7 linked regions of the Rattus norvegicus genome follow. The protein of the gene in region 1 interacts with the protein of each later gene in a pairwise test. Links are inferred from orthologs where the notes say so. Each region holds a gene or a part of one and is shown in the gene's direction. Other genes may lie near its edges. The genes, in order: Khdrbs2, Hbz, Rbm3, Prr3, Ncoa5, Chtop and Sdcbp.

The links.
Region 2: the proteins of Khdrbs2 (region 1) and Hbz interact in binary tests that used the Homo sapiens proteins (3 or more experiments, as listed by UniProt). The two-hybrid records come from large-scale screens. The link is inferred for Rattus norvegicus from reciprocal best matches to the Homo sapiens genes KHDRBS2 and HBZ.
Region 3: the proteins of Khdrbs2 (region 1) and Rbm3 interact in binary tests that used the Homo sapiens proteins (3 or more experiments, as listed by UniProt). The link is inferred for Rattus norvegicus from reciprocal best matches to the Homo sapiens genes KHDRBS2 and RBM3.
Region 4: the proteins of Khdrbs2 (region 1) and Prr3 interact in binary tests that used the Homo sapiens proteins (3 or more experiments, as listed by UniProt). The two-hybrid records come from large-scale screens. The link is inferred for Rattus norvegicus from reciprocal best matches to the Homo sapiens genes KHDRBS2 and PRR3.
Region 5: the proteins of Khdrbs2 (region 1) and Ncoa5 interact in a two-hybrid assay, tested with the Homo sapiens proteins (2 studies listed by BioGRID). The two-hybrid records come from large-scale screens. The link is inferred for Rattus norvegicus from reciprocal best matches to the Homo sapiens genes KHDRBS2 and NCOA5.
Region 6: the proteins of Khdrbs2 (region 1) and Chtop interact in binary tests that used the Homo sapiens proteins (3 or more experiments, as listed by UniProt). The two-hybrid records come from large-scale screens. The link is inferred for Rattus norvegicus from reciprocal best matches to the Homo sapiens genes KHDRBS2 and CHTOP.
Region 7: the proteins of Khdrbs2 (region 1) and Sdcbp interact in binary tests that used the Homo sapiens proteins (3 or more experiments, as listed by UniProt). The two-hybrid records come from large-scale screens. The link is inferred for Rattus norvegicus from reciprocal best matches to the Homo sapiens genes KHDRBS2 and SDCBP.

The regions. Positions count from the first base shown.
Region 1 is NC_086027.1:42,152,392-42,156,439, forward strand, and holds part of Khdrbs2 (KH domain-containing, RNA-binding, signal transduction-associated protein 2), read left to right. Parts: intron 1-3,262; coding exon 3,263-3,409; intron 3,410-4,048. UniProt on the Homo sapiens protein: RNA-binding protein that plays a role in the regulation of alternative splicing and influences mRNA splice site selection and exon inclusion. Binds both poly(A) and poly(U) homopolymers. Phosphorylation by PTK6 inhibits its RNA-binding ability.
Region 2 is NC_086028.1:15,847,327-15,851,075, reverse strand, and holds Hbz (hemoglobin subunit zeta), read left to right. Parts: upstream 1-1,318; 5' UTR 1,319-1,368; coding exon 1,369-1,463; intron 1,464-2,248; coding exon 2,249-2,453; intron 2,454-2,558; coding exon 2,559-2,687; 3' UTR 2,688-2,797; downstream 2,798-3,749. UniProt on the Homo sapiens protein: The zeta chain is an alpha-type chain of mammalian embryonic hemoglobin.
Region 3 is NC_086039.1:17,019,212-17,023,820, forward strand, and holds the start of Rbm3 (RNA-binding protein 3), read left to right. Parts: upstream 1-1,693; 5' UTR 1,694-1,778; intron 1,779-2,347; 5' UTR 2,348-2,362; coding exon 2,363-2,465; intron 2,466-2,737; exon of another isoform or gene 2,738-2,742; coding exon 2,743-2,849; intron 2,850-2,995; exon of another isoform or gene 2,996-3,161; coding exon of another isoform or gene 3,162-3,260; intron 3,261-3,488; coding exon 3,489-3,594; intron 3,595-3,692; coding exon 3,693-3,786; intron 3,787-4,131; coding exon 4,132-4,192; 3' UTR 4,193-4,211; exon of another isoform or gene 4,212-4,215; intron 4,216-4,535; 3' UTR 4,536-4,609. UniProt on the Homo sapiens protein: Cold-inducible mRNA binding protein that enhances global protein synthesis at both physiological and mild hypothermic temperatures. Reduces the relative abundance of microRNAs, when overexpressed.
Region 4 is NC_086038.1:2,800,591-2,803,387, forward strand, and holds part of Prr3 (proline-rich protein 3), read left to right. Parts: exon of another isoform or gene 1-1,984; coding exon 1,985-2,275; exon of another isoform or gene 2,276-2,797.
Region 5 is NC_086021.1:174,157,428-174,161,475, reverse strand, and holds part of Ncoa5 (nuclear receptor coactivator 5), read left to right. Parts: intron 1-1,899; coding exon 1,900-2,099; intron 2,100-3,169; coding exon 3,170-3,490; coding exon of another isoform or gene 3,491-3,513; intron 3,514-3,951; coding exon 3,952-4,048. UniProt on the Homo sapiens protein: Nuclear receptor coregulator that can have both coactivator and corepressor functions.
Region 6 is NC_086020.1:178,287,477-178,292,192, reverse strand, and holds the start of Chtop (chromatin target of PRMT1 protein), read left to right. Parts: upstream 1-1,844; 5' UTR 1,845-2,130; exon of another isoform or gene 2,131-2,213; intron 2,214-3,638; 5' UTR 3,639-3,655; coding exon 3,656-3,720; intron 3,721-4,716. Other genes in the region: S100a1 (protein S100-A1), read left to right, coding at 385-528. UniProt on the Homo sapiens protein: Plays an important role in the ligand-dependent activation of estrogen receptor target genes. May play a role in the silencing of fetal globin genes.
Region 7 is NC_086023.1:24,300,849-24,304,896, forward strand, and holds part of Sdcbp (syntenin-1), read left to right. Parts: intron 1-450; coding exon 451-535; intron 536-1,943; coding exon 1,944-2,053; intron 2,054-2,059; exon of another isoform or gene 2,060-4,048. UniProt on the Homo sapiens protein: Multifunctional adapter protein involved in diverse array of functions including trafficking of transmembrane proteins, neuro and immunomodulation, exosome biogenesis, and tumorigenesis.

The DNA.
Region 1 (4,048 bases):
GTGAGCTTGTCTTATAGGAGAAAGGCTTATATATGATCTAGAAATAAATACTATTAGAAAGAGAGTACATGGAGCTCTGGGTTTGCTAGGATAGGAATCAAGGATTGGAGAATTATAAGATGATGCACAAGCAAATAAAAAGTTAGTGCTTTGTTCTCCTGGAAGACAGGATATGGCAATTTAGATTGAAGGAGATATTAAAGATAGCTGCATGCTTTAAGTGCATAAATTTTAAAATTTTGTAAGAGATTATTTTAATCTTAGTAGTCTATCACTGTTCTGTTTTTACATGAAGGGGATTACTAAAGACCGCTGTCTGCTGTACCAAGAAACCTCAAGAGCTGTGCCCAGCTACTTGTGAAGAGTAGACTGTGTAAAACTATAAGAAAATGTGCTTTTGCTTTGAGTTTAGTTTCTGTTTTAAGGAAGCAGGGCTCTGGGATTCATAAAATTTAAGTAAATTTAAGGATTTCCAAAAAAAAAATCCTTAACAATATTCAAACCTTGATGATGTAGGTTTGGTTAAAAAAATCTGGGTTCAGTCTCTCTGGTAGGGAGAAGGCAAAGGATGAGAAGGGAGAAGGAAGAAAGGAGAGGCAAGAATGATGAGAATCCTCAGGTAAAGAGCGAGCCCTTGAGCTGACTGAATGCTTCCACAACTGACTCCTGGTCATTGTTGAATCACCGCTGCTCCCATATCCCCTTCTCAGGACCCTCCTTACACTGAGGCTGGTTCTCAGCAGTTAGAGCACTTTCTGCTCTTGAAGAGGACCTCGGTTCAGCATCCAGTATGAACACAATGGCACCCAACCACCAGTTTCTGCAGTTTCAGGGTACCCGATACCCTCTTCACTGGCCTTCATGGGCAAAAGGCATAAACTTCATATACATTTGTTCAGACAAAACACACATACATATAAAAGAAAAATAAATGTATCTTATAAAGTAATCCATGCATTCTTGGAACTACACTGTCCACACATGCAGGGTACCACTGAACACCTATAATTTTGTTTTGTGATGTATGTATGTGCTATTAATCAGTGAACCATCTCTCCAGTCCCTGGCCTCCTTTTTTAGTAGTTTGGAACCACTTAACCATTGAGTTTCCATAAAACCTTTTAATATATCTTTAACATTGATTATTCTAAACAAGAACTTCCTCTCCCTTCTTGCTCCAGCCCCCTCGCCCAACTTTGTCTTTTAGTTGCAGGTACCTCTCTTCTCTTCCATAGTATATATATATATATATATATATATATATATATATATATATATATATATATATATATATATATTTTCCCTACCTCTTAGCTCCTCCACATGATGATACTCCTGCCTGCCAGAGTCTTTCTACCCCCACATAGCATTCACCTCTTTAGTTATCCTGATCTACAATCTCCTATTCCTTTCCTTCACTTATGTCTCTTGCCAATAACTTTTTTCTATTAATTTCTCTGGCTTCTGCCTGGGATACAACTTACACATGCCAAACACTAAGTCTGAAGTGAGAATTCCACTTACAAGAGGGAACCTCTGCTTTTTGTCCTTCATGGCTTTGCATATTAGGATCTATTGATGTTCTATTCAGTTACCTGAACATTGGGCTATTTTGGTCTCCAATAACAGCTGAGTGATATATATATATATATATATCATATTTCTATTACATTCTTATCTTGTTTATGAATGTCTAGGTCAGGTACATTTCTAGCTAGTGACAAGAGAGTGGCAGTTGAAGTGTCTCTGTAAAGATAGAAAGTCTTTGCGTGTATGCCCTGGAGTATAGGCCCATATGGCACTTCTAGTTTTTGAGAAACTTCTGGTCTAAATTCTACAGTGGCTACACTAGCTTTCACTCCCATCAAAAGTGTAAACCATTCCACCTTTATCACATCCACATATGCAGGGTTGGCATTACCTTCACAATGATGGCCATTCAAACTGGAATAAGATGGCCTTTTAAACTAGACCTTATTTCTGTTTCCCTAATGACTTTGACTGGGATTATTTTTAAAGATGCTTTTGAGCCCCCTTTATTTCTTAAGCAAAGTTTGTTCAATTTGAAATTCTAACGGTATTGGTTTGGTTTAACTTTTTTGTTAGTCTGTTTGGTTTTCTTTTTTTTCTCTGTGATAATTTTGGCAACGGGGGAACTGGCTGAAAGAGGAAACCTTGTTTCCCACCATTTCTTTCATGTAATTTCAGCTAATATTAAAACTCTGATGTTCCTGTACAACTCAATGAAAATCTACTTATTATTCGAAAAGTACTTTACACCAGACAGGAAAGAACCTTGTTCTCCCAAAAATGCAATGATGTTTCCAGAAACATCATTCCAGAAACTGCCCTTAGATGCCTTGGCTTCATGAGGTTAACATTTCATCAAACTGATTAAAAATTGTGTGGTTGAGGACAATGGCAGGTTTCTTCAAAATCCACATGAAGCTCAACAAGAAGGACGACCAAACTTCAGATGCTTCAGTCCTTCTTAGAAGGGGGAACAAAAATAGTCATAGGAGGAGACATGGAGACAAAGTTTGGAGCAGAGACTGAAGGAATAGCCATTCAGAGCCTACCCCACCTGAGGATCCATATACAGCCACCAAACTCAGAAAACACTGATGATGTCAAGAAGTGCATGCTGACAGGAGCCTGATATAGCTGTGTCCTGAGATGCTCTGCCGTAACATGACAAATACAGAGGCAAATGTTAGCAGCCAACCATTGAACTGAGAATGGTGTCTCCATTGGAGGAGTTAGAGAAAGGATTATGGAGCTGAAGGGATTTGTAACCCCGTTAAAAACAACAATATCAACCAACCAGAGCTCCCAGGGACTAAAGCACCATTCAAAGAGTACACATGGACAGATCCATGGTTCTAGCTACATATGGAACAGAGAATGGCCTTGTTGGGCACCAATGGGAAGAAAAGCCCTTTGTCCTATCAAGGCGGGACAACCTCCCCTCCCCACCCCGTGTAAGGAATGTCAGGTGAGGTGAGAAGGAGTGGGTGGTTGGGTGGGGGAAAGCAGATAACATTTGAAATTAAATAAAAAATATCCAATAAAAAATGAAAAGGGAAAAAATATCCAAATTTGAAAATGGTTAACCAACTTGCAGTGAAGTTTTATTTCTCAAAGAATTTCTTTCCACCTTTGGAAAATTTGCTTAGATTATGGCCCTTTGTCATATTCTCAGGAAATGTTAAATCAATGTAAAATGAGTGCATCCATATTTCTAAATATAACTTCTTTACAGGAAGAAGAGCTGAGGAAGAGTGGGGAGGCCAAGTATGCCCACCTGAGTGACGAACTGCACGTATTAATTGAAGTGTTTGCTCCACCCGGGGAAGCTTACTCACGGATGAGTCATGCTTTGGAAGAGATTAAAAAATTCCTGGTTCCTGTAAGTGACTTTGATTTTACAAATGGTTCCTTATCAGTTTCTATTTTAAGTTGTGTCTTTGATCTCCATTGATTTTTGAAAGTGACTTCACATTGCACATTAGTTATCTATGCATAGATTATTCCGACAAAAGTATTCACCACCAACCAGTTATATAGTATACACGAGTCCACAGCCAGGAAGAATAAGAATAATAAGAATAACAAGCAAAGATACATTATTTATGCCACATTTCCCTGCTTTGAGCCCTTGACATGTAGTTTGAAAATTTATAATTAGTACAAAAGGTATAATTAAAAAGGGATGGAATTGAATATTATTTATAATAAAACATTCACAGTACTTTAGAATAGTTAATGATTTTTATGTGACAGTATGTCAGGTGCTGGCTGATACAAAATAGCACATAAGATCATGTTAATGAAGGCAGATAAATGTCAACTTAAAAAGTTAGAAATATAAACTCACTAGGCAGTGTGAGCATAATGGGGGATGCTCACCTGCCAATTCAACTGCAAGTTGAATGGAGTTCTCTGCTGATAAAGAAGAAGTAGGAGGAGGTAAGTGCACGGAGTCTTAAGGATGAAAAAGGAGCATTCTAGGAAGAGGTCTTTCAATAGAAATCTTGCCATGAGTTTT
Region 2 (3,749 bases), on another chromosome or scaffold:
GTTAAAGACGAACTGGGAAATGAAAACCTAGAAGTATTTGCAAAAAAAGCATATCTGACCCTCCCCCAACCCGAAAAATAATGCATCCAGATCACATTCAGAATGCCCATAAACCACTAGTTAAGAAAATGGCCCAGCTGAAACGTGTACAAGGTACCTTTTATAGGTAGGCAAAATGCTTGAGCAGTAAGCTTGTGGCAAACAGGCACACAGATCTTCCATCACTGGCCATTGGAAAAACGCAGTTTTCAGCCACAATGCTATATTGCTATTTACCTGTCAAACAGCTAGGATTCGAAGACGCTGTTGTTGATACATAGGAGTATAGGACAGTAAAGACACTCGTGAAAGCAGTGTGTCAAACTCCTTATAAAGTTAAATGTACACTTTGCATTTCCCAGGACTTCTGCCGTCAGATACAGATGAATCTACAGAAACGGGTGTAGAGGAAAGGAGTTCTGTGCTCACTCAGAGACCTCTCTCGGGATGTGGACGGAGGATAAACTGCTGTATATTCACACCACGAAATGAAAAATAGCCCACTGCCAATAAACGCGGGAGCCGACGAGTTTGCAGAACGTTGTGCGAGGGGAAAGAAAGCCAGTCTTAAAAGAATACAACGCCGTCTGGTTCCAGTTGGGCGCATTTTTTTTTTTTTTTGAAACGATGAATTAGTGTGGCTTGGGTTAGGAGCAAGAGGAAGAGGAGGCCTCAAATGGGTGGCTGTGGAGGCTGTGGCAATGGTGGAACTACATCTGTGTGGATCCAGGACAGTGAACAAAGCAACCCAACCGCAGGTCAAACTAAAAGAGTCGTGCGTTTTGTTGGAAACTGGTTGGAATGGAGGGCTATGCTGAAGACCGTTTTCTTTTGTTGACCCGTCCCTTCCTCCTGGTGGGAGCGGACTTCCATGATCTTCCCTCGGTGCTGAGTGAGTGAGAGGGACTATTGCTTCCCTGGAGGGAACCCAAGAGTCACAGAAACTAGGTGACAGGGATGGCACAGACAATTTTGTGATTCTGAAATGAGGAAGGACAGTGCAGATCTGGACACAGGAAGGGACCTCCTGACATGGCTGGGCCCCTATCTCTCCTGGATTCTGTGTGGTACTCCAACACCCCTCCTAAGGCCATGGGGGGTTGGGCAGGGACGATAGCACTTGCCCTCACAGTCCCACCAGGCCCTGATTCCCATTGTTGCTGGCTCTGATAACAGGCTCCACCCTGCAAGCCCCCTCCCCTCTCCTAACCAATGGCCTGACAGGCCCCTGACCATGTGTATATAAGGAGACACTGTGGCCGAGCACCATCAGGCCAATCTTGAGTTCATTCAGCTCTAGCACAGCCTCCAGCCTTTACCGCCGCCACCATGTCTCTGATGAAGAATGAGAGAGCTATCATCATGTCCATGTGGGACAAAATGGCGCCTCATGCAGAGCCCATTGGCACTGAGACTCTGGAGAGGTAAGTCCAGGCACCACGGCTTGAGTAAATGGGTCAGAAGAGGGACGGGTAAGACCAAAATGACAAGGAGAAGACAGTGAGAAGTCATTGAAGAGAGGTCATGAGGTGTGGTCAGGACCTTAAGGACAGAAGCAAAGAGAAAAAAATGTAGAGAGGACCGTGAGTTCCATGCTCTTGGGGAGGGGGTCCGGGCAGGCAGACAAGCTGCTAGAAGAGGTGGACTGGTAACCACAGACCTCAGAGTCTTCCATGTGGCTCCTCAGGTATTTGTTGAATGAATAGGAATGAATGGATGAATGAACCAGCTACAGACAGAGAGGAGATACAGGGCCTAGCCACATGAAGCCTTGGATAACAGGAAATAGAAACATCATTCTTGGGGCTGTTTTGAAAAGATTTATTTACTCTGTGTATGTGTGTGTGTGTGTGTGTGAGAGAGAGAGAGAGAGAGAGAGAGAGAGAGAGAGAGAGAGAGAGAGAGAGAATAGGTGCTAGTGGAGGCATCAGATCCCCTTGCACCTTGGTTACAGAGAGTTAGCTGTGAGCTCTTTTCAGGGCGGTAAATACTCTTAACCATTGAGCCTTCTCTCCAGATGCTTTTTGTATTATTCAACGTACTTTTTTTTTTCGTTTCCTTAAACACTGTGTAAAATACTATTTTGTTTTCTGTCTCGTAGGTCTTTTAAATTGTGTACACCTTGAATTTTGAGCCCAAGGCAAGAGCCTGGTTAGCCTCCCCTAACCAACACTTGTAAAACTAACGCTTTCTCCCGACCCCCCCCCAGGCTCTTCAGCAGCTACCCCCAGACGAAGACCTACTTCCCACACTTCGACCTGCACCATGGGTCTCAGCAGTTGCGTGCCCACGGCTCCAAGATCTTGGCCGCTGTGGGTGATGCGGTTAAGAACATCGACAACCTCTCTGGTGCTTTGACTAAGTTGAGCGAGCTACACGCCTACATCCTGCGTGTGGACCCGGTCAACTTCAAGGTGAGTTTGTGAGAATGGAGGGAGAGGTCAGCAGAGAAAGAGACAAGGGGAAAAGTGGGCTGGGTCTCTGCTGCACTGAGCACTGAACTTCCCTTCCCTCCGCAGCTCCTGTCTCACTGTCTGCTGGTCACACTGGCTGCACACTTCCCCGCCGACTTTACCCCTGAGGTCCACGAAGCTTGGGACAAGTTCATGTCCATCCTGTCTTCTGTCCTGACTGAGAAGTACCGCTAAGTGCCATCGCCGCGAGTCCAAGACCAGCTATGACCTCTTTCCTCCCCTTCATTGAACCCTCCCTGAGGTCTTTCCCAGAATCCCCAATAAATGGTTGACGAAAGAAATAACTGGTCCTGTGTATTCAGTCTCAGAGGGAAACAGGGATGGGGATGCTACAGGATGCACCGGGGGTTGGCAGGAACACTATAGTTAAACACGGACTAGAAGACATTCCTGGGTTGGGGATTTAGCTCAGTGGTAGAGCGCTTGCCTAGGAAGCGCAAGGCCCTGGGTTCGGTCCCCAGCTCCGAAAAAAAGAACCAAAAAAAAAAAAAAAAAAAAATAAAGCTTTACATTAAAAAAAAAAAAAAAAAAAAAAAAAAAAAGAAGACATTCCTAAGGTGTTTGGGGGAGGATCTTGAGAACCCCAGAGTCAGAGCAGGCAGGAAGCAGAGCACCCCACAGTCACAGCTGCAGCTGGAGTTCTCCTCATCTTCCCAAATCGCTTCACACAGTGTGGTGGCTGGATGTCAGGAATTCTTTAAAGTCCGATGTTACAACTTCACAACTCTGCCCCCCAAGCAGGTAGGGGGTGTGCCTGTCCCTAAAGGATAACAATTTTCCAGTAACTGCCTTCATAGGAGTAATTACAGCTTCTGCGAGTTCAAAGGGAAGGCATACGCAAGACTGAGTCTATGACAGAAGCCCCATCCTTTGGCCTCTCTCTAGGCATGTCTCTGCAGACATGCAGAGGGGCTGGGCTCTGTGTTCCTGCTAAGCTCAGCAGATCAGGGTGGGCCATGTGTGGGAGCGCTGTATGAAGAGGCTCATCCTTGTGGCCCCTAGAGCATTCCACTCCTGTGCCAAACTCAACACCCCCGAGAGTGTGCCACATTGCTTCTGATTGTCCGCCACCAAGCACATTTAGGGGAGCAACTGCAACTTGCATGGAGATGGCAGGTGGTCCCCAGGAAGCAAGCCAAGACCAGCCTTACCCTGTCAGGGATGTGGGGCACAAGGCTCACCTGAGGTTTCCACCGGGCGCTTGGCAGTTAAGGTTGGGGGAACCACATGGCTGCC
Region 3 (4,609 bases), on another chromosome or scaffold:
CAATTCATTTGGCGTTTTTTCTTGGGAGTTTGGCAGGTGGGGTGTAAACAATTAGGTAGTCCAGGCTGGCCTTGAATGAAAGATCCTATTGCTTCAGCCTCCCCTTCAGCCTAGGATTACTGCTCTAAGTTGTCATACCCAACTAAGGTGCCAAAGCCTAATGGGACCTTAAAACCACACGTGATATGACGCTGGTCTCAACTCTTTACATTAAATGCAATTCCAAAAGTTGTCCTACTTTTGTTTGCTTATTTCAATATAGGGTCTTACCACAGGCTAGCTAAAGTTAGCCTGGAACCTGTTAAAGCCTTAAATTCACAATCCTGCCTCAGTTTCCTGATAGATGGTGATGAGACATCTGGTTCAATGGCACAGTAAAACCGAACACAGCACTCCTCTTTGTTGGGATATAAGCCAAGGGACTTACACATACCGGGAAGGCACTCTACCACTGAGCTGAACACTATACAAGGATTGAGGACCTTAAACTAAAAGCAGAACTATGCAGCTAACAGATATAAGTTGCAGAAGAGAATTTTGGGAACTTGGGGCACCGGGGGGGGGATTTCTTTAAAAATATAGACAAGTTGGTTGTGGAGATTCCAGCACTGAAGAGGCTAAGGCAAAAGGTTTATGAGTTCCAAAGTAGCCTGAACATACAGTGAGGTATAGACCATAGGGTGAGAAAAGATTAGAACAAAAATAAATGTATTCAACTAAAGATAACTACTTATAAAATTTAATAACCTGAAAGTCCATGAAAATCACTGAGAATATGGAAATAAGCTTAGCAGGAATTGTAGATGAATAGCATCTGAAGATTAGCAAATCTGTGGTGAGGTTGGTGGGGGGAGTCAGGGACAGGCCTTTACAATGTCAATATTAAACAAATTAATTCTAGGAGCGAAAAATGTGGAGTCCATGGAAGCAAACACTTGTTTATTATTAAACACTGAAGGCTGGGAAAGATCCAATTGTCAGACGGTGGACTTAGACACTACTTGCTTTGGATTCCATTATGTATTGCAAAAGTTCATCCTTTGACTCAAGGGCCAGTATCCTAAATAGAGAGCAAAATTCATTTTGTGGATTTGGATTTGCACCCTTTGAAGCTAGGATACCTGTATTGCTGAACGCATATCAGGTTTAAAGAGACTGTCAGATAAGGATGCGAGCTTAAGTCAGAGGATGACCTAAGGGAAGGAGTCCCATAGCTCACGACTAGATGTTAGGGATAGGCGCTAAGCGTTTGGAAATGAAAGGTCTGACATGAAGAACGCTGAAGGTCTTGGACCCTTAAGGGATATGCGGTTAAAGTCCTAAAAGAAAAGAAGATTGGTTTCTGAGGATGGCAGTTCGTTGGCACCGATCTACTGTCAATTAAGACTTCCTATGGAAAGGGAGAAATGACGTCAAAGACACTGAAAATGACGTCAGGGAGAAAAAGGCTATATGGATTCAACCGTTTGAGATGGAAAGGGGGGTCAGTCTTTCAGCCAGAATAGAGACGCTAGCATGAGAACACACTAAACTTATAAAGTTCCTCTGTATTCCCGGAAGAGGTAAGGCAAATTGCTGCCTCCGCCTTCCTCGCCCTCTTCCCAGCCCCCGCCGCTGGCCTCAACCAATGAGCACGCACGCCAGGGCGCGCTGGGGGACGTCCTGTGTCGTCACCGCTACGCACACTTTATCAGGCGTCTTCCCGCGCCGCAGTCTCTCTGTTCTCCCGGTTCCTTAGAGCTCGTCGTCTCTGCAGTCTTCTGACTTTTAATTTCCAGGTAAGTGCGTTTATCTTGCCCAGTGATCATCCCCCACCTCACTTCCTTGCCCTTCAGGGGCGAGGGACGAGAGAGTAGGAATAGTGGCCGCCGACATGTAGGCTTGAGCTCCGAGGTCGGTTAGTTCCAGGCTCGAAGGCAAAAATCTCTTAATTGTGAGGCTGGTGTGCTGCATCTGAACGGGAGGGATGCCGGAAGGCACGGGCCGGGTCGGCGGCGGTGGTAGGGACCATGCGCCAACCTATATCGGCTGTCTCTTCCCACGTGACCGCCGCCATCTTGTTCTGCGGGGAAAGAGGAAATGCAATGCTGCTGTAGGCCTGCGCGACCATACAAAATGACGGGCGTGGCGGCCTGAGATGTTGTAGGCATGCGCGGTAGTAATCATCAAATGGCGGATGGGCTCACCCGGCCTTGCTGATTCCCGCCTTTTCTGCTCCCGAGCCCCTTGCTATTTGAATTATTTTTTTCCTCACTCTCTGTGTTTCCCCGTAATTCTGTCTCCGAGTGTTTTACACCTCACCACTTGCCACATCGACCCCCCAAAATTCCTTACACTCTCCCTCTAGGACTTGGATTCTGCCATGTCTTCTGAAGAAGGAAAACTCTTCGTGGGAGGGCTCAACTTCAACACTGATGAGCAGGCACTTGAAGACCACTTCAGCAGCTTCGGGCCTATCTCTGAGGGTGAGCCATGGATCAGCCCCCAGGTTGAGGGTTGGTGGGTAAGAGTGAGTCTAGGACTAAAACCTGAAATTCTGCCTTCCGCGTCTGTGAGGTACAGTTAGGCTGAGAAAAATACAATGGGATACGGGATTTTTTTCTGGGGGAGGAGGAGTTGGTGGGGGCGCTATTTGATGTGTGCTGCTGTGGCTGTGCCTGTGCCTGGTTTGCTTGGCAGGCTATTGCCTTCCACTTTAATGTTCTAACATATGTATTTCTGCCTCTCCCCCACCCTCCCCAGTGGTTGTTGTCAAGGACCGGGAGACTCAAAGATCCCGGGGTTTTGGCTTCATCACCTTCACAAACCCAGAGCATGCCTCCGATGCCATGAGAGCCATGAATGGAGAGGTGAGGCCTCCTGCCTGCAGAGGGGCCTTCTCCCTGTCTGCCACTTTCTTCGTTCTTTCTGTTTTCCCTCTATGTCTGCCAGGGGCAGCGTGGCCAAGAAGCCCCGCAGTGTCCACTCACAGGAGCATGACTGCCTTCTGTTCTAGGGGGTGGAGGGCAGCGGCAGACAGAGCCGGGCTGCCTGGGAGGCGACGACTGGTCCTGCATGAGGCCGAGAAGCCACCTGTGGATGGTTGACCTGCTCTGGGCTTAGGTAGTAGAGTCTGCAGACCTGTGGGCCTGGCCCGGAGAGGACCTCGTGAGTCTGCTGGGATGGACTCTGAAGCCTCAAACCAAGAGAGGCGTCTAGCCCTAATAGTCGGGCAGCTTAGAGGAGTGGGGAGGAGAACTCAGCCTGAGTTCAGTCAAGATGTAAGTAGTAGCAGGGGAGCACGGTGGATTCAGGTCCTTTTGTGGGATTCTGTAGCTCCTGGTGAAGCCATTTTGGTCAGAGGAGCTTGTCTTGGTCATGGCACCCAGATTTTGGTGCCCAGCAAGAATTTCTGGGCTTTTGCCTACCTGCCTATGCCCATTCTTCCCTCATCACTACATTGACTGACTGACAACACTTCCTTGTATCTGTCTCCTTCCCATACCTAGTCCCTGGATGGGCGCCAAATCCGTGTGGACCATGCAGGCAAGTCTGCCAGGGGAACCAGAGGGGGTGCCTTTGGGGCCCATGGGCGTGGTCGCAGCTACTCTAGAGGTAAGTGCAGTCATGGTTTGATTATGACTTTAGGTAGAGCCGTCTAATTTGTTAGGTGCGTATGTCTGAACAGCTGTTACTTCAATGTTTTTCTGCAGGTGGTGGAGACCAGGGATATGGAAGTGGAAGATACGACAGCCGACCTGGAGGCTATGGATATGGGTATGGGCGGTCTAGAGACTACAGTGGCAGGTGGGTACTAAGAGGTTGGGATAGTGAGGTACCAGTGTTCTTAAGAATTCAGTAGCCTAATACTCATACATAGTTTAGCTGGAAATGGGAAGTTTACATGAGGCTCATATGTTTGATGTGGTCTGTTTATACATTTTTGAAAGTTTTGTGTGGCTGGATATATCAAAGGTCAATTGCCTGTGCCCACCATGTGCCAACCTCATGGATATAATTTCCATTATCACAAAAACTAGCTAAAATTTATATTGTGAACACACTATTATGAAATTTGACGTGTATAGTTTTTAATATGTAACGTATACAAAGTAGGGTACATTTTTGTAAAACAACATCGCTTTTTCCCAGAAGCCAGGGTGGCTATGACCGCTACTCAGGAGGAAATTACAGAGACAATTATGACAACTGAGATGGGGCATGCACACAATGTAGGTGAGACCTGAATATTGGCACTTTGTCAATCTGTGTTCATCAGGTCCTCTTCTCTTCCCTTTTGCTTTTTTTCTCACCACACTGCCCTTTATCTCTGCTGCCTTCCAGCCAATCTGTCAGCCTCCACTCCCCTGCTCTTGCTATCGTATGCATGCCAGAACTAGTTGCAGGGGTGGGGGATGTTCTGAAAGTAATCTCTAGGGGAATGGTGGAAATAAAAGAGGTCTGGTGTGCTGCGTCTTTATCAACTCTGGGAGGTTAGCATGTTATCAGCCTGTTTCTTCCTGACATCAAAATTGTACCGTTCTTACTGTTCTCAGATACACAAGGAATAACACTTCTGATCCAGGATCGTCCTTGCAAATTGCTGTATTTATAAAGATTTTTGGAGCTG
Region 4 (2,797 bases), on another chromosome or scaffold:
GAACTCACGATACAGACCAGACCAGACTGGCATGCAGAGAGAATCTGCCTGCCTCTGCTTTCCAACTTCTTGGATTAGGCAACACCAGGCTTGTCTTTTTGGATTTGTTATGTAGCCCAGGGTGCCATCAATCTAACAAAATATATGCACTCAGTGGAATATTGTTTTGTCTTAAAAGGAAGAAAATGGCATTAGTGCCGCATCATGGGTGGGCCTGAGCACACTGTATTAAGAAAATGGGCACATGAGGGTAAACACATGAGCTGTCGGGAGTCAGACTCACAGAACAATCAGGGTGTGAGTTACTAGGGCTGTTAGAGATGTAAAGAAAGGGGTGGTTAGAGGTTTCTGTTTGGTCTCTGGTTTACAGTACAGGGCCCTGGGATTCTGTTTCCCAACAGTTACTTACAGTATTGAATCTTACACTTAATAGTTGAGGTGAGTCAGGCTGACAAGATGGCTCTACAGGTAAAAGTGCCTGCCCCCAAGCCTGACAACCTGACTTTAATCCTTGGCCCCAAGTAGTACAGGATCCAAACTCAACGACTTGTCTCTCTGTCACACATGCAGCACGATACCTGTACACACATCCCTAACACCCACATATGAGATCTAAAGTTTTAGAAATCTATTTCTTCAGGCTAAATATAAGTGGATTGCTGTTAGAGAGGACCCGAGGTTCATTTTCAGCGGCCCACGGTCTAGTGGAAGTAGGCAGCAGACAGGGCTAGTTCCAACACCCTTTTTTGGTCTGCAAGGACACCACACGCATGTGATATGTGAGCATACATATTCTTGTTTCTCACATACAACAAATGAACCGAATGAGAAAGGCTGACCCTTGGAATGCTTGGAAGCTGTAGCGCCCGCCACCTCTGAGGGGGCTGTATAAGTTGATACACCACTAAGATTAAAATTAAATTAAAAGTTAAGATTAAAATTGATTACACTGTTCTTACTGAGCAATTCCTCTGCCACATGTAGTCTGAACAGAAACTTATACTACACATAGAAATGTTCGTAGCGGGGCTGGGGATTTAGCTCAGTGGTAGAGCGCTTACCTAGGAAGCGCAAGGCCCTGGGTTCGGTCCCCAGCTGTGAAAAAAAGAAGCAAAAAAAAAAAAAAGAAATGTTCGTAGCATTGTTTATTGTGGCCACACACTTAATACCCACATGTCCATCCTCAGTAGAGCACATAAGTCCGTGTAATAGGATGCTATACTTTTTTTTTTTTTAAAGATTTATTCATTTATTATATATAAGTACACTGTAGCTGTCTTCAGATACACCAGAAGAGGGCATCAGATCTCTTTACAGATGGTTGTGAGCCACCATGTGGTTGCTGGGAATTGAACTCAGGACCTCTGGAAGAATAGTTGGGTGCTCTTAACCGCTGAGCCATCTCTCCAGCCTGGATACTATACTTTTAAATTTAAAAAATCATCTACTACTGGCCCAGACAAGTTGACTCTCATGATTATCAGAAGAGCCCAGAGTTAGAGCCAGGAAGATCCACAACCTGTCATGTTAGAAGTCAGGATGGTGGCAACTTTCCAGGAGAGGAAAGGCCATATAGAAGGATGGCTTTTCTGAGGCTGGAGATTTAGCTCAGTAATAAAGAGTAGTCAGTTGCCTAGTATATACAAGGTCCTAGGTTCAGTTCCCCACACCAGGGGCTAAAAAGCGCCAAGAAAGCGTATCTCTGTGTATGGGCAATAGAAACCCAGGGGAAGAGGTAGTAGTTGGTTTGCGTACTTAAAAGCGGTGTGTCAGGGGCTGGGGATTTAGCTCAGTGGTAGAGCGCTTACCTAGGAAGCACAAGGCCCTGGGTTCGGTCCCCAGCTCCGAAAAAAAGAACCAAAAAAAAAAAAAAAAAAAGCGGTGTGTCAGAGAGCTTTGCTGTATGTAGTGAGCAGGGGAGGGGCTTTTGTCAGGACTGAGGGGCTTCTGCCCAGCAATCACCTCCCTGTCTTTCTCTCTGTAGTTTTCCACAGGGGTCCTCCAGGATCAAGGGGACCAATGATTCCACCACTGCTGAGTCTCCCACCTCCTCCCCGGGGTAGAGGCCACATTCGGGGAGGCCTTGGTCCTCGGTCTAGCCCATACGGTCGTGGTTGGTGGGGTGTCAATACTGAACCTCCTTTTCCTGGGCCAGGCCATGGGGGTCCTTCTAGGGAAATCTTTTACCAAGAGCCAAGAAATCCAAGAAGGCTCAAAAGCTGGTCTCTTGTCAAGAACACCTACCCACCTAAGGACAGCCCCCCGATGATGGAAGGTAAGGCCCACTTTGTTATGTTTGTGCCGTGGCCTGTATACCAGCAGGCCTGGGAATCTTCTCCTTTAGGCTCTCACTGAGCAGCACTGAGAATTAATGCAGGGCCTTACCTGTATTGAGGAGTCCTCTAGCGCTGAACTACCAGCTTCTTAGCTGCCTCAAGAGGTACCAATAGCCCTGAACACTTTTCTTCCCTCAGAAAGACTGTCTTTCCAAAATACTTGGTGATCTGGGAGTCTTGCTCAGTGATTGAACAAGGTGTGCATCATGCCTGAGGCCCTGTGTTCTATCCCTAGCACCAAAAGTAGAAAGAAAAAGCCAAAATACTTGTAAACAGTATATGGTAGAAACCTTGGCTTTCTCTCTGCATTCTATACATTTTCTTTCTTAGGATTTTTAGGGCATCAAGTTGGAAGAGTTGTGTTTTATTAGGGGTGGGTGGACAAGTTGACCTCAAACTTGTGTCTTCTGTCTCGGCCTCTGAAGGCTGGGGCCATGGTGTGAGCCTCCTCACCCAGCTCT
Region 5 (4,048 bases), on another chromosome or scaffold:
GTGATGCAGGGTATCCTCTCCTTAGGATTCACCAGCAATTGGGGATAACAGTGGGCTACACAACCACACGTCAGCAGCTCCTCAATAGCACAGGAGCACCATTGTGGATTCCAAGGAGCTCCTTCTTTTAAGTATTTCCTATGAAATGTTGCATCAAAGCAAAATTTGGAAAGCTATCAGAAAGAATTTGGTCAAAACATGCTTAGAACGTTTTGTTCATTAAACTGGCAGAAGAACCAGAGGGAGCTCAACAGTTACGGACACACAGTGCCTGCCCTGCTGGGGGAGCTGTGTTCAATTCTCAGCGCTGCATGGGGGCTGACCACCTTCTCTAGCTACAGTCCTAGAGGATCCGGTGCCCTCGTCTGGCCTCCTGGGGCACGAGGAGGTACAGGGTACACGGGTGTGTGTGTGCATGTGTGTGTGTGTGTGTGTGTGTGCGTGTGCAGGCATATGAATAGAAACCTTTTAAATGTAATAAACAGACTGGTAGAGGATAAAAAGAACTACAACAAGTTTTATGAGCAGTTTTGAAAACCTCTAAGTCAGAGTGGGTGAAGACCATCCGAGTCAGATGCCTTCATGCTTTTTATGATACCACAAAGTTGTTTCTTGTAAAGATGAGAGTGAAGAAAACTAGAAACACGTGTGTTCGTACAGGAAGCCCTCTGTGCACCATCGCATCAAGCAGTGGCTCAGGAGTGATCTGTATGACAGCTCTTTGATGAGCACTGTGGCCCATAGCCGAAGGATTTTGAGGGGAAGATGTATCAGACTGCTTGGGACTTTGAGAAAATAGATAAACAGGAAGAGAAAACCAGGTTTAAAAACTTAGCAAAATTATGAAAAACATCTTAGGAGAGAGGTCAAAGGTCTTTCGGTGACATCTGCATGCTGCAGTCACTTACGGGCAGACAGCAAATGTGAAAAGAATCTTAAAGGTCTAACACCCGAGAGACAGTTCAGCCTTGGGGACTAGAAGATAGCACAAGACCCCATGTACATATTCCTGATCACTCCTTTTTTGAGACCTTAAGACAGGAAGTAGGCAGAGGCCGTCAGGAGAGGCAATTCTGGAGGACCTGGCTACTTAGCGTCTGGAACTGCACTCCTATCCTGTGACTCGAGTTGGGAAGCTCCCTGGATGCTGTCTAGAAGGCCCTAGAGGATGTTCAGACTCCCTGTTGTTGAGTGTGATCCAACTGCTGACAGTACCAGCACCGTTGTGGCAAGTGTCCTTTGGAGTGACCTCATGGATGACACGTGGAAGCAGCAGGCAGGCGTCACCAGAAGACACTGATACACATGTTCAATGCCCCCTCATTCCTTCTGATAGTATAGTATCTTTTCTGAGCGTGGGGGTTGGGCAGTGTTAAACTTCTGGGTGGCGTGCGAGCGAGGATGGAGCTGCAGTTCCTTCCTTTAAGTGAGACAGATGGCCAGCATCCATGCAAAGCAATGGTACTTTGTCTAGTGTCCAGTTACCTCATGCTGTAACGATTAAATCCTTCTCTGGTAACAGCTTGTTAAGCTAAACTTAGTGGGAAGTACCCTCCGCAGGGCTTGCTTTCCAAAGTAGTAGGGAACAAAATGCTACCTTCCCAAGGTCTAAACAGGCTGGTTGGGAGCAATAGTGTCCAGTCAGAGTCAGCTTTAACAGGTAATGAGATGGGGAGGAGGCAGTTTGAGTACCATCCTACGGCAACTTCCCGTGTGCTCGAAGCACAGTTAAAATTATTTTAGGAAAAAAAAAATTAAAAAAAATTATTTTAGAAACCTGAAGATAGTACTGGGTGGACTTAAGTCTGAGTTCTGAGGAGACATAGCTGGCTGAGGTCCAGAATTACAGATTGAGCCGTGGCCAGGGAGTGCTCACCCAGATCCTGTTTGTTCTCATAGAGATTATGCGGAGTCTGTGGGGAGGAAGGTGCGAGACCTGGGCATGGTTGTGGACCTGATCTTCCTCAACACAGAGGTGTCCCTCTCACAAGCACTGGAGGATGTCAGCAGGGGAGGGTCTCCCTTTGCCATTGTCATCACCCAGCAGCACCAGATTCACCGTTCCTGCACAGTCAACATCATGTTCGGAACTCCACAAGGTACAGAGACCTAAGTAGTCCAAATTCCCAGAGGTAGTCACCAGCACAGATTCTGTGCCCTGCCTGTGAGAAGTGGGTTTTGAGGAATGACTGACATGTTCCAGTTCCAATGTGGCAGCCCCTTCCTTTCCCTTCCTTTGCTGTGGAAAAGACTTTTCATCTTTTCTGTGGTGTTCTCTGATACTGTTCTAGACCTGTTGGCAAACCGTCAACAGCCAGCTATGGTGGAGAGGCAGACTGATTAGTAGTGAGTACAATTTCCAAGTATGAGTAATTCCACCATGCCCCATCTCAAGCCATCAGTGGGACATCACTGAAGGGACCTGGCTCCCAGTGAAGTCTGACTTAGGCATCTGCTGCCTAAAATGCAGCTCCCAGGGATGAGACTCTCACAGACAGGCTGCTGGTTGCCAGTGTGCTAGAAAAGCAAGTAGAGGGGTTATACAGGCAGGAGAGGCTCTTTCCGCTAGAGGAAATCAGCCAGCCATCTGTGCCCTGTCTATGATTCTTAAGCCTAACTTCCCCTTTTCCACCTGCCTGTGCTCTGTTGTCCTGGCTTTCACACCCATAGTCACAGGGTGTGGTAAATTGCTTGTCTCTGAGGAGCTGTCTTTAGCTTGTGTGTAGATGTTCATGTAAGGTTCCAAGACGTGTCCTCAGATAGGACTGTTGCCCCATTGAGGAGAGATGGTTGGTCTTAACCCATGACCTTTGAACTGATGAATTAAAACCATAGTGACTGCCCGGAGCACAGCAGAGAGCCAGGCTTCACACAAGACTCTTGGGCCTCCTGCTGCTGTGTGCTGCTCCCCACGTGGCCTATTTGGCTCTGTGGGAGGCTTTTGTATTCCTTGGGTTTTTACCACAGGTCTGTGATCCACTGAGGAAACAGCTCTGTAGGAAGGTGTGTCCCACACTGAAGAGTGCTGCTCTGTCCCTCAGCCCACCTCACTCTAGGTTCAAGACTTCTTGGCACTGCAGTGCTTCTCTGCTTTGAGACTGAGTGCAGCAGTGAGCACTTGGATGTGTCGTGGGTCTGAGAAAGTGACTGGTGTCGCTCCCTTCTGTAGAGCATCGAAACATGCCCCAGGCAGACGCCATGGTGCTGGTGGCCAGGAACTATGAGCGCTACAAGAACGACTGTCGAGAAAAGGAGCGCGAGGAGATCGCCCGACAGGCGGCCAAGATGGCTAATGACGCCATCCTCCAGGAAAGAGACCGTGGAGGCCCGGAGGAGGGGGGTCGCGGGGGGCACCCTCCAGCTATCCAGAGCCTCATCAACCTCCTGGCAGATAACAGATACCTCACTGCAGAGGAGACTGACAAGATCATCAACTACCTGCGAGAGCGGAAGGAGCGGCTCCTGAGGAGCAGCGCCGACTCTCTGCCTGGTGAGCTACGTGGCAGGGCCGAGGTGAAGTTCTCACTCTGCATTTCTCTCATCCCATGCTCTGTTGGGAGGGTGGCATGCCCAGGGTTCTCCAGGGTGGGCAAGGGACGAGCCGTCCTTTGGCTCTCCCACAATCCATGCACGCTGACGATGCTGGCAGCTATGATCTTGACTCACTGCCGAGCTCTGCTCCCTGGAGTTGAGCTGTTGGGGCGTAATCTAGTATTGCTGGCCTCCTGGGAAGGAGCCGTGATGGATGCCCCTTGTCTGTTTATTTAGGTTCTGTTTTGTTTTTTAAGCAATTTTATTGGGCATTGATTGGGCTGCTTTCTTTGGAATTTGATGTTATTGTCTGTACTGTGTGATTGTTGTGATGTATGATTGCTATTCTTCCTGTGGCTGCTAGGCCTCCTGCCCTTAGGGGGCACTCTCAACCAGATGCCTCCCTCTTCTGTCTTCCAGGCCCGATTTCCCGCCAGCCACTCGGGGCGGCCTCGGGTTCCTCGCTGAAGACACAACCAAGTTCCCAACCGCTTCAGAGCGGCCAAGTGCTCCCTTC
Region 6 (4,716 bases), on another chromosome or scaffold:
ATGGCAAAAAAAAAAAAAAAATGGTGTTTTTTGAAACAGGGTTTCACTATGTAGCTCCAGTTGGTATGGAACTTGCTATGTAGACCAGGCTGGCCTTGAATTCACATAGATCTACCTGTTTCTCTCCCCCACTGAGTACTAGGAGTAAAGGCATCACTATACCCTAAAATGATTTTATGTGTGAGTTTTTAATTAAATGAAAATGAAGTCCATAAGGCTCTCAGCTTAGCTTAGCACTTGTCACATTGTAGACAATCATGGATGACAATTGATGCAACTATTAATACTGCTTAGTTCTTTTCTCTGGCTTGCTCATCTCCACCTCCTCCTCAACCACTGTGGTGGCTCTAACTTAGCAGTATGCATTTCCATCTCCTTCTACAGGTCCAGAAGGATGCAGATGCTGTGGACAAGATCATGAAGGAACTGGATGAGAATGGAGATGGGGAAGTGGACTTCCAGGAGTTTGTTGTGCTGGTGGCTGCTCTCACAGTGGCTTGTAACAACTTCTTCTGGGAGAACAGTTGAGCACAGTCTCAGTAGGCAGCGCCCTCCCTCTTTGCTCCTCATCCCACCTGTATCTCCCTATGTACCCATCCTTGCCCAGGCTCAACATGCACCAAAGGCGCAACAGTAGCAGTCCAGATCTGCCACTAGTTTTAATAAAGCTTCTCTCTCACGAACTGTCAATGTCTGTGTCCTCTGGGTCTGACTCACTCTCAACACCTTATCTTGGAAAGTTTACACTAGATCTTACTTAAGGAACACTCAAAACCCAGAATTGTAGGGACCCAAAAATTTTAGCTGAAATCCAAGTGTTACTGGCTCTTTAAGGACTTGTATCAATAATTGGTAATAATGCCAGCTCTTGGAAGGATGAGGCAGAAAGATTTTGAGTTCCAAGCCAGCCCATACTACATACCCAAATCTTGTCTCTAAAAACAGAAACAAGCCATCAAGAAACCTGGAGAAAGCTAGAAATGGTTTCTACCATTAGATACCATGGTTACTTAATCTCAACACCTGGGAGGCAAAGGCAAGAGGATTTCTGTGAGTTCAAGGCCAGTCAGGTCTGTATAGAGAATTCCAGGACAGCCAGAACTACATTAGAGAGACCCTGTCTCAAACAAGCAAACAAAAAAAACCTGAAGAATTTTTTCCCAAGCTTCATTGTTTATTGATGTACCATCAATGCTAGACATTATGTAATAATTAGGGGTTCATTAGTGGGGATACAGATTTGCTTTACTGTATTATGTGAGGTGAAAAGACCCACCCTAAAACTAGCCACATCTTCTAGCAGCAGTCCCTATAAAAGGATGCAGAATCCAATGTGGATCTTCAATCCCAGTACAGTGAGGGGGGAGGGGGAAAGTGAGGAGGGAAGATGAATCTTTGTGAGTTTGAAGCTAGTTTGGTCTACACAGAGAAATCCTGCCTCAAAAAGAAAAAAACAATACAAATAGGGATGAGAAGAGGGCCAGAGCAAATCAGCGAGGTTCTAAGGTCCTAATAAGATTTTACTTTTGGTCTTTAACTTGGGAAATAAAAGAATATAAACACTGCTTCCAATCTAAGCTGCTCTCTGCAAACCAAAACCCCAAACAAAGTAGGGCATAAACTTGTCCTGCAGGTAGTCAAGATACCTAGCGATTGTGACCACTGACCACGCCCCCAAGGGCGGAGCACTACACGTAACTTAAGGGATCTTTGCCAAAGTCCGTAGGGATACGCCTGCGACTCCTGCGCAAGCCAAAGGGCCCATTTTTCCACGCCCCTAGTTGCGCGCGCAATGACGCAAGCCCGTCGGCGCCATTTTAGCCGGTCACGCTGCACTGGTGGGCCTGGCGGCCATTTTGTTTTGGACACCAAGCGGGAGTTGGCGGCGCCGGCTGTGGTGGCACAGACGAAAGGCAGGAAAAGGCTGGCTTGACGAGCGGGAGGATCAGTCGGCTAAATACTCAACCCACAACAAGGGAGCCTCGCAACCTACCGTTTAAGCATCTAACCCAACCGCCCAGCTAGTTAACCCGAGCGGTCCGCCGTCAGCTCGGGTTCGGCCGGCCTCCGGCCCGCCCGCCGCAGCCGTGGTGGCAACCCCGGGAGGAGCGCTGGCGTCCATCTCCTTCGGTGAGTTTCTGTGGTGAAAGCAGAGGTGGAGCGCCGAGGGGGCGCGGGACATGGCGCGGACGGCAGGTGCGGATGGGGCTGAGGTGAGCAAAGGCCGGGGGAGGGGGCGGAGCCGGGAGGCGGAGGCTAAGCCGGAACCGCGGCCAGCAAGCGGGCCAGCAGGATTGTTGGTGCTGGTTTTGGTTGGCTTGTGTGGTGGTGGTGGTTGGTGGTGGTGGTTTGGTTTTGGCCCCAAATCTAGTCTCTTGCTTATGTAGATAAGCGCCCTCCATCAGAGCCCAAGCCTCGCCCCAGAATAGCGTTTGATGGGAATAACAACGGAAATAAGCGCCTGACCAAAGTCTTTTGAGAGGCTTTGAGGTGGAGGTTAAATGAGGAATACAGGAATTAGCGGCGGCTCTGGGTGTTCGTTTTTTTTCGGCACCGAAATTGAATCCAAAATTATGCTCTGGCTAGTCTAGCGCCCAGAGTTAATATCCCCAGCTTTAAAAATAATAATAATTTTAGTTTGAAACAGGGTCTCAGAAGTCACTTAGGCTCGCCTTTAGCTTGTGACCCTCTTGCCTCAGCCCTTCCCAGTATGTGCCCCTACAGTTAAATTTTGTGGAGTTGCTCTTGACAGAGCTCTCAGATTGAATACCCATTGAGAAAACCTTTTCTGTCATTCCCCTGCCATGTCTTTCTAGAGCTCCACTTGCATTTGGAGTTGAGAATCAGTTTTGAAACTTGGCATTTCTTTTGAGTGTGTGAGAGTCGGAGCCTCATAATGTGACAGTGTAACCCTTGATGTCCTCAGCCTGTTACACCACTCCTCTGTTGCTGCTGGGAATTGAACTTAAGGCTTCATCAGTGCTAGACAAGCACTCTATTGCTGAGCTGTATTCCCAGCTCCTCCATTTCTCTAGATTTGTGGCCCTCAACTTTCTGTAGACATGTAAGATGTACCTGGGTAGGTAGCACCCCTAGCCCCAGTTGCTGTACCCCATCGTCATGGCCAGATTGTAGTTTAATTGTCTGGATCCAGACATCAAAAATTTAGTTTGTTTTTTTTTTTTTTTAAACATTCCTCAGCTAAATCATATTCAGCCCAGGCTAAGAACTATTCCAGATTGAAAGCCAAACTCCTAGGCTTTGGCTACATCTGATTCTGCCATTTTGTTGACTTTGGCAGATGTTCTCCATCCTGGGGCTCTGAAATTTGATAAATGGAAATAACTGTCATCTAAACTTAAGCCCCCACCCCATGGGGTTTCTCTGTAGCTTGGCTTGTGTCCTTAAACTTGCTCTGTAGACCTGGCTAGCCTCGAATTCACAGAGAGCCACCTACCACTGCCTCAGGAGTGCTGGGGCTAAAAGTGGGCACCACCACCACATGGCAAACTTAAGTTCTCATGACACCATCTTCAGCAGTTAGTAGTATAGGCCTCTCATGGGTTTATGCCTCGATTCTTGTGAAAATGCAAACTTCATTATTTTGATTGACTCATTATGCATATTGTCCTTTGTAGATTCTCGGGATTTGAAGATGGCTGCACAGTCAGCGCCGAAAGTTGTGCTAAAAAGCACCACCAAGATGTCTCTAAATGAGCGGTGAGGCAGCCAACAGCAACTTCAGCTCCTTCCTAAGAAAACATTACTTAAATTGGCCCTGGGGTCCAATACAAAAAAGCCAGTTGTAAGCTAAATGACAGAAGGCTACAGACTTCTGTTCTTAATTGATTGCATCTAATGTGGTACAAACAAATTGGGCAGTTGTTTCAAAACCCCTTATCAGTAGATTTTTATATTAAGCTATCTGACATATTGACCTGGTGGGATATATTTTTTTTTAAAAGACTCCTCACACCTTCCCTTCGATTTTTCTTTTTTTCCTAACATTGATACAGGGGTGGTGCAGCACGATGGTATGGTATATCCTGGCTGCATTCGGCTTGCTATCTAGTCCAAGGCCAGCAGTGTTGTGTCTGGCCTGTAAGAGGCAGGTAGCAAGCCAAAACTATGTCCAAAGGCCCCTGAATGTCATTCTTGGGCCTTGTAAGAGGCACTTGCTTTGCTCCATTTCACTTTCTTCCCATTCTGCTTTTTAGTTTGTTGTGTTTTGAAATCTTTCAACAGCTGTGTGTTTACTTCCATTAAACTTATTCATTACAGGAATGTTAGAATGCCCTTTTAGGCTCGTAAGTGACTTAACTAATTTAACCTTCTCAGAGAAGTCCTGAGTCAGAAAGAATGGTTATTTGAGATTTAAGAAAAGTTAAAGTAGTTAAAGACAGTTTTTGTTTCTGAGAATTTTATTTGGTGTCTTTCACCATTTTATTATGTTGTTGCTAGAACAGCCAAGGCATTTAATGCCTGTGTTTGCTTCTAAAGCATGTGTTTCTCTACTCATCTTTTAAGATGTGTTATATTAATTACCTGTATTTGTGTGTTACTGAGTAACATGTTAGAATATAATGACATTCCATAATTCACGTGTCTCTGTTATTTCAGTGGACTTTGAAGGTGCTCTGATCCTTTGTCCTGTTTGTCCTTCGAATGAACTTTCAGTCTCCAAAGGTGTAGGCATTTCTGTTTGTCTTTGTAACT
Region 7 (4,048 bases), on another chromosome or scaffold:
GTCTGGTCTGTATGCAGCCTTGGATTCAGTCCACCCCCAGCATTAAATAAACTGAGCATAGGGGCACATGCCTCTCACCCCGGGACTTGGGAGGGGGAGGCCAGGGCGGCAAGAGTTGATGGTAATGTGACACTCAGCTACAGATGAGTTTGAGGCCTGACTCAAACACCAAGAGAGAAAGAGCGTGCGGTTACTTTGTTTGCAGGCGCCCTGTTAAGCACTGACCGTAAGATGTGGCAGATGGTGTCCTTCAGGTTCGAAGTACTCCTAAGAATTTTAATTTACAGGTTTCCTTTGGGGGGGAAATGATTGCTGAAGTGTTTCAAGTGAAACTTTGAATAAAACTTCAGTTGTTAGTTTGTTCTGGGAAGTACTAGAATTAACATGTAAATAATATAAGAAAGATGTAGGCATTTTTGGTATTTGCTAGAATTTTCTTTTCTTTTCCAGGCTCAAACTGCCTCTTCTGCTAATCCTGCCAGCCAGGCCTTTTTTTTAAATGTGGTCGATTCTGCTGCCTTCCCTCCAGGTGGAAGTAAGTCTTCCCTGACACTGAGTCCAGCGTTCTGTCTGGACGTTTCGGTTTATGAAAGGACTAACTTGTTTAATCAAGAGTGATCTATGAGTATGAAGATGGGTTTGGGTGCATAATAAAATGCTTAGTTTGCCTCGTAATCCTTATCATAGTCTATTCATTAGTGAGAAACACTCCTCCATGGGACCACAGTTTTCCCAACTGCCGCTCTCTCACACATCCGGAGCTACCTCTTCCTTACTTTGCCAGGGAGCTCAGGGAGTTTCCAACTGTGTTCTTTTGGGAATTTTCTTTCAAAACTAAGAGTTGCTGTTCAGACTCCATAAACTATAATTTGTCTGCTTTCCATCCCGAATCCAAAGGCTCTAGGACCCAGCCGCTGTAAGACACTAAGATACAAAGTAAAGGATTAACTTAAGAGTTTCTGGCCTTTCATCTTCTCAGTCGCCCTCTCTTAACTTTATTCTTTGTAATAAATCTATTCTGAAGTCAAAACAGATCATAGAAAAAGATTTTGGAAGTAGCTCACTTCAAAAAATGTTAACAATTGTTAATGTTTAAAAATTCTGTTTGTCTTATTTCATTGGAATATGCCTATCATTCTTAAAGTGGTAGGACAGAGTAAATCACAAGCTCTGGCAGTGTCTCCTCTTACGTGAGAGGAGCCATCCCATCCAGAGTTAAGCAGCTGAAACAGTAAACATGTTGGGTCTTGTGAACTGGAGTCCCTGCCATGATCCCTCAGCGTCTAATGCATTAGGGCTATGTTACAAACCCAGAAGGTCAAGCAAGGTCAGTTATTTGGAAAATTATTTTTTACTTTTGAGTAGTTATCCCTCTGTGTCTTTTATTTCTGTCTCTAAATTCTATATTTGTACTGTGATCATACACAGTTTTTTCTTATTTTTCTTAAGAGAAATGCAGCAGCTGCCAGTGTTGGGTGGTATTGTATATGGTGAGTCTCCCGCAGAGGTCAAGCAGACAGGATAACCTGCACAGGTCTCCTGATGGCGAGACCACCTTCAGCCTTTAAGGTGTTGTGATGTAGCCATGGAGGGCCTCAGATTTGTGGCAGTCCTCCTACTTCTGCCTCACTAGTGGCGCTCTGGGCTTAAAGCCATGTTGCCACCACGGCTAGCTTGAGCCATCTTAAATGAGGGACTTGAACACCTGCAAGTGTGGCCTATGGTGGGTTCCAAAGTGCCTCATGGCCACAAATGGATGACTCACTGGGTTAGAAGGCTAAGACTGTTTCAGCATTAAAGTGGTTATGGACTTTTTCATTCTAATTGTGACAGAGATGGGAAGATGTCCTTCCATTTTATGCATGAAAAATAAGACACAGTAAGTCCATACTAAGTTGTTATTTTGCATATTCTGCCAATGCCTTTGTCTTTGTTTATATTAGATCTCTATCCTAAACTGTATCCAGAACTCTCTCAATACATGGGACTGTCTTTAAGTGAAGCTGAAATATGTGAAAACATGCCTGTGGTCTCTGGAGCGCCAACCCAAGGGGTATGTACAGTATAAGCTTGAATCTATCAAACGTACTTTATACAGGTATAAACTCTCATTTGTAGGGAACTCACCTATTTATAACTTTGGGGCTGAACTCTCCTATGATTATTAAACTCTACATCTCTGACCATTGTCATCCACTGTTGATTAGGTCATTGTCTCTCCTTTGTCTTCTGCGTTTTATCCTTCCCCTGACATGTTTCCAAGTTAGTTTTATCCTTTCTAGCTGTGTAACTACACTGAGGTTTGTAATTCTGACATAGCCCTACTAACTAGTACAGTTATTTCTTAACAGACCTCACAGCAAGTCTTGTTTCAGACAGTATTTCATTCCTGGCAGATTAGTTATTTGAAGTATATATCTGCCATATTATTTTGTCCACAATCTTAACATTCCTCCTCTTGTAATTAGAAACCATTTTTTTGTAGTTAGACTGAGATTTTAGGTTTAAATGTAACATGTAGCTTTTGCTCTAATTATAGTTACATGCTTCATGACTAAATCCACTTCTGTCCTCTTGCTACTGCTTAGTACAGAACCTGGCTTTTATATATTGAAATTTCAGTATTTATTGAAACCTTGTATTAGTTATGATTTGTACAGTGAACTCTTTGGATTTGCTAATGGAAGACACACACATGCACATATGCGTGCCAGCTAACTTTAAAATGCCTTGGCTCCCTCGAAGGCTGGGCACTACAAACCTTCCCCTGCTACCCAAGCCCAGTCTGGGAAGTGGCCACTCACCTGAATTCTCACATCGGCTTGCTTTCTTTTTTTTTTTTTTTTAAGATTCAAATTTTAATTTATTTTGCATGTATATGGACACAAGTGCCATGGGATGTATTCTAGCTTTCTTTTTTTTTTTTTTTTTTTTTTTTTAAGGTTTATTTATTTATGTTCAGCATTCTGCCTGCATATGTGACTGCAGGCCAGAAGAGGGCACCAGATCTCATTACAGATGGTTGTGAGCCACCATGTGGTTGCTGGGAATTGAACTCATGACCTCTGGAAGAGCAGTCAGTGCTCTTAACTGCTGAGCCATCTCTCCGGCCCTCGGCTTGCTTTCTTGTAGTTCCTGTGTCGCATCCTTCTATACATGGTGATCTCTCTTCTCTCCCGTGTATCCTAGCCTGAGCAACTCTCAGGGTTCTTCCCTGTCTCCCTTTGTCCATCTGTTAGCTGCTGGCATCATTATTGATGGATTAAAAACCAATTGAGGACAAGGACCTTTAGTGCTTGGACATGCAGATTCCTGATTGAATCAAAGCATTAGAACCAGTCTCCACCAGTATACAGCATATTACATATCAATTTGTGTACATTGTGAAATATTTCTACAATCAAGTGAAGCAATCTAACTATCACCTCCTAGAGTTACAACTTTTTTAGTATGTGGTTATAACACTAGCAAGTTTCAGTTGTAAAAATATTAACAGCCATGGTTACTGTGCTGTTCCTTCAGACTTATTTTTATTATTGAGAGTTTGTATACTTTGTCTGCCTTCCCATTTTCCCTCCATTCATTTATTGGCCCTGTCGAGCTCCTCCTCTGCCCAGCTCTTACCCCCAACAGGGCCTTCCTTCTGCTTCCTCCTGCTGAGACTGTATAGAGAGAGTTTACATAAGATCACACTGTACTAGCTTTTTGTCTCTGACATATTTCCTCTAGTATAATGTCTTCCAGGGTCAATCTTACTGTTCCAATGCCAATGTTTTTATGGCTTTAGTAATAAGCCATTGTGCATTTACAGACAACACTTTCTTTATTTAGTCCTCTGTTGACAGACACTAGTGTTTCTCAGCTTTGACCACAGTGATGAATGCTGCAGTGAACACGGGAAGGCGGGTGTCATTGGCATGGAGGGATTTTATTTCCCTTTTGGTATATACCTGCAAGGGAGATTGTCTGACTGTATGGCACATGCGTTTTTCACATGAGGCTCCTTGTTACTATTTCATAATGGTTATTCCAGATATGTTCACTGTCT